Linked DNA regions of Rattus norvegicus. The protein of the gene in region 1 interacts with the protein of each later gene in a biochemical or structural test. Links are inferred from orthologs where the notes say so. Each region holds a gene or a part of one and is shown in the gene's direction. Other genes may lie near its edges.

What was found. The genes of interacting proteins can lie anywhere in the genome.
Region 2: the proteins of Cav1 (region 1) and Ptgs2 form a complex in vitro, tested with the Homo sapiens proteins (2 studies listed by BioGRID). The link is inferred for Rattus norvegicus from reciprocal best matches to the Homo sapiens genes CAV1 and PTGS2.

Annotation. Positions count from the first base shown.
Region 1 is NC_086022.1:46,634,027-46,637,537, forward strand, and holds part of Cav1 (caveolin-1), read left to right. Parts: intron 1-3,379; coding exon 3,380-3,511. UniProt on the Homo sapiens protein: May act as a scaffolding protein within caveolar membranes. Forms a stable heterooligomeric complex with CAV2 that targets to lipid rafts and drives caveolae formation. Mediates the recruitment of CAVIN proteins (CAVIN1/2/3/4) to the caveolae.
Region 2 is NC_086031.1:64,712,555-64,716,862, forward strand, and holds the start of Ptgs2 (prostaglandin G/H synthase 2 precursor), read left to right. Parts: upstream 1-1,508; 5' UTR 1,509-1,652; coding exon 1,653-1,704; intron 1,705-2,438; coding exon 2,439-2,555; intron 2,556-2,677; coding exon 2,678-2,821; intron 2,822-3,438; coding exon 3,439-3,582; intron 3,583-4,129; coding exon 4,130-4,308. UniProt on the Homo sapiens protein: Dual cyclooxygenase and peroxidase in the biosynthesis pathway of prostanoids, a class of C20 oxylipins mainly derived from arachidonate ((5Z,8Z,11Z,14Z)-eicosatetraenoate, AA, C20:4(n-6)), with a particular role in the inflammatory response.

The DNA of each region.
Region 1 (3,511 bases):
TTAGTTAGCATTGTGTCCTACACATACATCTAATCATGATAATAATGTAGTGATATACATTTCATATGTTCTAATACAATCACAGTTTTCACTAACAGTATAAAACTATATTTCCCCCACTAAAATCAAATGTGGAAACATTGTTGTACATACAACCACAAAGGTACTTAAATTCATCTTGACTGTCTCTTGTTCAGAAAAAAAATGGTCCACATTTGAAGAAAAAAAATATGATTGTGGTTCTTTCATTCCTATATACCTGCAAACTCTGACCAGATTTGAGCTTCAAACCAATCTCTTGTTCACATGGACAATTGGTTGTCATTTCTGGGATAATCAGTAATAGATCTTCCCTGTACTGAACGCAATGGGCCATTGTACTCTTTGTACACTTTGCATGTTTTGTTCACTTTGTACACTTTGTACACTCAACCAGTTGTGTGCTCCCAGGATATTTGTAAATCACTATGCATTGTGTATCTTTTGAACCCAGATTTCAATTTTACTGATAATTTTGCATTTTTGACTTTTTCAGTTTTGCTCTTGAAATAATGACATTTTTAAGAAATTAAAAAAAAGATATATTTTAAAGGAATTGAAAGAAAACTTTTAATTTCTCGTTTTCATTGCTTTGGGAAGAATTTATTATTATAACCTTGCAAATAGACAATGATAAATAAGTTGGACAGAAACGTCGTTCAAGTATTGGTCCAATTTCCCTTATACCCCACCACTTTTCACTATGTGAGTGCGTGTGTCTGTGTGTCTGTGTGTCTGTGTATCTGTGTGTTAGAGGACATATCAGAGGTTGTTTCTCCAAACCCACTCATCTATTTTTATTAAGGACAAACTCTCTCACTGTCTTAAACTCCCCAATTAGACTAGTGTGGCTGGCTTGCTGAGCCCTATGTCTGGTGTGGGCTTTGGTTTGTTCGTTTGCTTGCTTGCTTGCTTGTTTACTCTTAGTTTTTTAGTGTGTTCTGAAGACCAAACTCATGCCTTTGTGCTTGCACCTGAGCTATCTGAATTCTACAATCTGTTAAACACACACACACACACACACACACACACACACACACACACACACACACGTAAATATTTACCTCAATCTAGTTCTAAATGAACTGAGGAAAAATACAATAAAAATAAATCCATTTAACTTCATTTACAAAATTGCAATGAAACCATTTTGCATATTATACTATTAGGACATTGGGCAATAGAGAAAGAAACAGAATGTTCTAGAAAACAAACTTTAAGACTGGTAAGCGTCATGTACTTTCTCCAAAGATATTTTGGTGTGCTAAATCAAAGGTGGCTCTTTGGCACTGAGTCGCAGACTGAAGGAACCTAAGCTCTAGCCTAGACTCTGGGCTCTGCCGGGCTGCAGCTGGTCAACATCAGTTTCTGTGGATTTCAAACTATGCTAGAGCCCCTCACATAGCAGTTTCTTTCTCTGCCTTCCTCATGAGAGTTGCCTTTATTCTTGTGCTTCATTTAGTTTATCTAAAGCCTAAGAAGTAACTGCAAGTGGGAAGGTGAAAAGGACTTTATCTAACTAGGATCCCCTATTGCTGTGCCTGCTTCTGTCTTTAGAAAGTTGCCATTTGTCTTTGTTTTGTAAAGTGACAGGAACCTACTGTTCCAGGTCACCAATGCAAAGAAGCACTTGTAAGTGCTATGTGACTGCAAGTTTGGCTGATTGTTATCCCAGTGGCTTCCTAAAAGGGACTTCTGAAGCATATATGATTCTTGGAGCATTGGTATTTGTCGTGATCGTTACCAGAATCTATATTCTCAATTTATCTAATTCTAAAGTGAGGTTCTGTCCTGTTAAATTTTTTTCTCTCTAATGTTCTCCTTGCTCTAATGTCATGTGTGTTCTCCATAACAGTTTGATCTGGAGTTCAGAGGTCATCCTTTGTTCCTCTCTTGGAAATAACCAAGTCCTAAGAGTTTTTGTCATAATGTCCAGGAACTAGTTTCTCTTTGATCTCTTATTTCCTTTCCACCATTTTTCTCCTTTCTCACTTCCTTCCTTCTTTCTTTCTTCCTTTTTTTCAATAACCACTTTCTCATCTTGACTGTGCCATCTTCACTTGGGCTGTGCCACAGTCTCCTTGTTGGTTTCCTTTCCCTTTAGTCCAACACACACACACACACACACACACACACACACACACACACACATCCCCCTCTCAAACATCATTCACACACACCTCAGACACACACAAACAACTCAGCACACATATAACTCAGGCACACACACACACACCTCTCAAACACACACATACACACATTCACACACACACACACACACACACCTCTCAAACACACACATACACACATAAACATTCACACACACAAACAACTCAGGCACGCATATAACTCAGACACACACACACACACACACCTCTCAAGCACACACATGTACACATTCACACATACCTCAGACACACACACCCAAGCAACTCAGGCACACATATAACTCAGACACACACACACACACACACACACCTCTCAAACACACACATACACACATTCATACACACCTTAGACACACACACACAAACAGCTCAGGCATGCACATAACTCAGACACACAAACACACACTCTTACATAATCACATGCATTGTCACATTGATCTGAAGAAACTCTGTAACTGTAGTTGCTCTTTCCTACTCTAACATCTTCATAGACCTTCATTATATGGAAAACAATGCCCATTCTAGCCTCAACCTGTCTCTCTGATGTGTTCACTCTGGTCACCTCTGCCTGGGACACTCCTGAGTCTCATTCTTGCTTGCTCCTGAGCCTTGGCTGCCAGCATTGCCACGTACCTTCCTTTCTCCATCACATACATTTCCAAAGCTCTGCTTTACCACCTACAGTCATCTCCGTGCCTCAGCCCATAGTGTCCTAACTCCCTGAAAGGATTCTGTTAATCCTGTTACAAAAGTCATTAATGGATTTGTCTGATTCGAAATGTGTCTAGTACTTAATACTGGATTATGATTGTCTTTGAGGGCAGTAAAAACTTAGGTCACACTCTTTACCTCTTCCTGAGTGTTGGGTGTCCTTACTCATGTTTCTGAGTTTCGCTTTACCTCACATCCATTTGTCCTGAAAGCTGTAATCCTCAACTGAAGACATAGTCAAGAAGTATCTGACATGTATGTTAAAATGCTTCTCAGCTCCACCCTAGAATGATCAGATCTGAGAACCCATGTGTTCATGTCCCCAGTGAGGCCCAAGGAGGCAGAAGCAGTTGACGGCTGTGGATCGCCTTGCACAGGGCTGGCACACAAATAACCATGCCATGTGGTATTTTCCCCTTTTCTTCTATTCGCACTCACGGTTTGCCCCTTCTTTCTTTCAGATTGACTTTGAAGATGTGATTGCGGAACCAGAAGGGACACACAGTTTCGACGGCATCTGGAAGGCCAGCTTCACCACCTTCACTGTGACAAAATATTGGTTTTACCGCTTGCTGTCTACCATCTTCGGCATC
Region 2 (4,308 bases), on another chromosome or scaffold:
TCAGTTGAGATGGCATAGGACTCCCTGTCAGGGGTTGGGAGTGCCATACACGGAATGATTAAACATGACTAGAACAAAGGCCCTTGGTGACATGGAATTTTAGTCACTATGTCTCATGTAGAATCAAACTAGCATGCACATGAAGCAAACAGTTAAAAAAATTCCATGAGCGTTCTTATTTTCTGGGAGACCTCCGAGGAGTAAGGAATTCGGTAGTTTCCGAAGGGCTGTTTCTCATGGTCGATTCCCCCATGTTGGACCTTCTCTTCTTACATTTTGTTTTGTTTTGTTTTGCTCTGGTTTGTTTTCTTTTGAGCAGGGCTCTAGCTGTGTTGCCCAGACTGCTTCAAACCAGTTTCCTGACTTAACTTTCCTGAGAATACAGTTTAATTTCAGATTTTGTGTCTTTTTTTTTTCTCCATTCATGCCAAGAACGTACGGTTTAATTGAATGTTTTAGTTTCCTCATTTTCTTGTTTTACTCGGTTTTTCACTATTCCATCCTCAGATCCCCCTCCCGGGCCAACACCAAACACAGTGGGAAGTTATTCAACAGTCAAAAAAAAATCACCTCTCTAGGCAATTAATTTTTATTATCAAGCAATGTTTCAGAAAGAAGTGGATTTTTTTTAAGGTTAGCGAGAATAAGGCCAGTTATCGGGAAAAAAGTATTATCTTTTGATCTGTTGCCATAGCATATCTTCTTGTAAACGTAAACGTGGACAAAAATAAGTCTTTAAAAGGTACATTTTAAAACAAATTCCTTTTAGTGATTTGTCCTGTGAAAGAGTTGTTGATCAAAATGATAAAAGCTATGTAACAGCAGGGAGGAAAATACCTTAAAGCAATGCGGTGGACACTTAGCATTCCGACGTGGAGCTCGGCATCTGTCTCTGGGAAAGGCGAGTGCCTGGGGCTTGCTAGGACTGCGGAGCCTGGAGGACAGTTCGGTGAAAGACTTCACTCTAACTCCACCAATGCAGATGTCACCCTGACAGCAGCCCTCTCATTTCATTAAAAATAGAATAAATTAAATACACCGGTAACTGTGTGCGTGCTCAGAGCAGCAAGCACGTCAGACTGCGCCCCAGTGGGGAGAGGCAAGGGGATTCCCTTAGTTAGGATCTCGGATCCCGGGAGGGGAAGCTGTGACATTCTCTTGCTCCTCCGGCCCCCCAGTGGATGCGGGACTGGGAGGAAACCCGAGACCTCAAAGAGAGCCAGTCTTGGAGCAGGCACAGCGAACCACAGGGCGCCTGGAAGGATGCAGAGGGCGGTGCAGCTCTCTTGGCACCACTTTGGGCAGCCGAGGGAAGCTTCCTGGCTTCTCTGGGCTCATTTGCGTGAGTAAAGCCTGCCCCTATGGGTATTATGCAATTGGAAGCGGAGATGGGGGAAAGCTGGGGGGGTGGGGGGGTGGGGAAAGCCGAGGCGGAAAGACACAGTCACGAAGTCACGTGGAGTCCACTTTACTAAGATTTAAAAGCAAGGTTCTCCGGGTTAGCGGCCAGTTGTCAAACTGAGCGGAGAGCTTCAGGAGTACGAAGACCCTGCCTACGAAGGAACTCAGCTCTGTGTCCTGCCAGCTCCCCCGCCAGCTTCACTGCCACCAACGCTGCCACAACTGCTGCCACCACCGCTGCCACCTCTGCGATGCTCTTCCGAGCTGTGCTGCTCTGCGCTGCCCTGGCGCTCAGCCATGCAGGTGAGTGAGTGGCTTCGCGCCCCGAAGCACCCCTGGAGGGACTCCTCTGGCTCAGACCCCTTTCTAGGAGTATGGGATGGGCTGTGTATTGGCAAAGCGCCTGAGCCGCTAAAATCCAAAGGAACTGCAAGGATGGCAGGGGTTTTGCCACCGCTTTCAGGTTATGAGCCATTACTCAACTGAGCAGAGAACCACTTTCATTTGCTAAAATGAAATAGTCGTAATGGTTGTCGTTATGGTAAGACAGAATTTGATCAATACTTGTGAAAAGCACGTGTGTGGGCAACCGAACAGGAGTGATTGCTTTAAATACATGTTGGAGGCTCTTCTTCCCACAGGAAAATCCAGAAGACATTCTAAAAAAATATTCAAAATCTTAAAACTTGACTATTTTACTTTTATATTCCTTACACTAAATTTTGACAAATGTACTTTTTAATTTTCAAAGGGCTAACTTAACAATTCTAGTCTGAATATCCAAGTTATTTTGAAAATGTCGATAATGTGAGCCAGGAAGTTAGGTCCTCAGCTTTTCTTGCTTAAGAATAGAAAGTTGTTATTTCTACATTACAACCATTTCATAAGACAGAATTAGTTAAAATAAAACTTTTTTTTTCTAGGACTACCTGTGTATTTGTCAAACTTACCATTGTAAAGTTGACCCATAGTGACACAATTAAATCTTTAAGATGAGTCAAGAGTGACTGACAGGCTGTCTTGTCTTTTTAATATAGCAAATCCTTGCTGTTCCAACCCATGTCAAAACCGTGGTGAATGTATGAGCATAGGATTTGACCAATATAAATGTGACTGTACCCGGACTGGATTCTACGGTGAAAACTGTACTACGCGTAAGTTTTTCTTGGGGTATATTCCTTTGGAATGGGGACACATAAGGTCACCATAATTTTGTAGATTTATGTCCTATGGGAGGCGCCTACTCAGCTCTTCCTCCCGCTTTGTCTCTCTCCAGCTGAGTTTCTGACAAGAATCAAATTACTGCTGAAGCCCACCCCAAACACAGTACACTACATCCTGACCCACTTCAAGGGAGTCTGGAACATTGTGAACAACATTCCCTTCCTTCGGAATTCAATCATGAGATACGTGTTGACGTGTGAGTACAAACCTCCCTTGTTCTCCAGCATCGAACAAAACTATGCACTAGAAGCCCGACCCAAAGAAATCTCTCCGACCTTTTCAAAACGCCTTGAAGTATACTTTCCTACCCTGCCCCCACCCCTGATATGTCTAAACCACTGTCATGTAAACCTGTAGTCTGTATCTTGGTTATGACTCCTGCCCCTCATTCCTGTGGAGGAAGTGTGGTTCACTTGTTCATTGACTATCCGTGGCTTGCAGGAATTGTTCTGAACACAAAGCACCCTTTAAACAAATGGTTCATTAGGGTTTTCTTTGGGGGTCAGAAGAGAAAATAGCTGTCTATCGTTCTGAGGGCCATGCCCAACTGTATCTGTCATCAGCTATGGAACAGGAAGTGGGTAGTACCTGAAAAGTCAAGACTACTGGAGCATAATGTCCTGTGTAAATCTTAAACTTTATTGAAGATGCATTTTCCCAGTGCCTTTTAAAGTTTAGTCATTGTAAAGCAGGGTATCTTTGTCTGAATGAAACCCAATCTCTGTACTTGATCCATTGTACAATGGATAATTGATATCCCCTTGTTGGTTTTTTTCACATGAGGTTCAATAATTTTTTTCTTTAAAATTTCAGCCAGATCACATTTGATTGACAGCCCACCAACTTACAATGTGCACTACGGTTACAAAAGTTGGGAAGCTTTCTCCAACCTCTCCTACTACACCAGGGCCCTTCCTCCTGTGGCTGATGACTGCCCAACTCCCATGGGTGTGAAAGGTGAGTACAAAGAAATAGAGACGTTGCAAGTGTACTGACGGTTGGGTGTGTACCTAGAAAAGTTGACCCTGGATTGTCCTTTTATTTAAAAACTGTAAAATAGTTTTGTCTTTAGTATGGCTGTCCACAGAGGCGTATTAAAAGTGCGGATCTATTATGTGAAAGTAAATCTCCATTTTGATATAATGTCTCAACATTAGCATCTTATGCTAAATAGAATTCATGTTAGTTATTGATAAAACTATTCAATAACTCACCCCCATATCTTAAAACATGAATTTATACCCTTAGTAAGTTAGCTTGTTGTCTGTAACCTCTAAGGTAAAGGTTAACCAATAATTCAAGACCATTCTGGGATAGAGAGTGAGTTTAGTCCAGCCTGGGGTACAAGCATGACACTGTGCCTCAAAGCACAGCCATTGTTTCCGTGCTGTGATCCTCTTGGAGTTCATGTTTTTAAGATGGATGCTCTCAGGAATTAGACAGCTGTTTGTTTGAACAAATATGTAAATGGATACATATTTACTTTAGAGTTTTCTTGTTCTAGGAAATAAGGAACTTCCTGATTCAAAAGAAGTTCTGGAAAAGGTTCTTCTGAGGAGAGAGTTCATCCCGGATCCCCAAGGCACAAATATGATGTTCGCATTCTTTGCCCAGCACTTCACTCATCAGTTTTTCAAGACAGATCAGAAGCGAGGACCTGGGTTCACCCGAGGACTGGGCCAT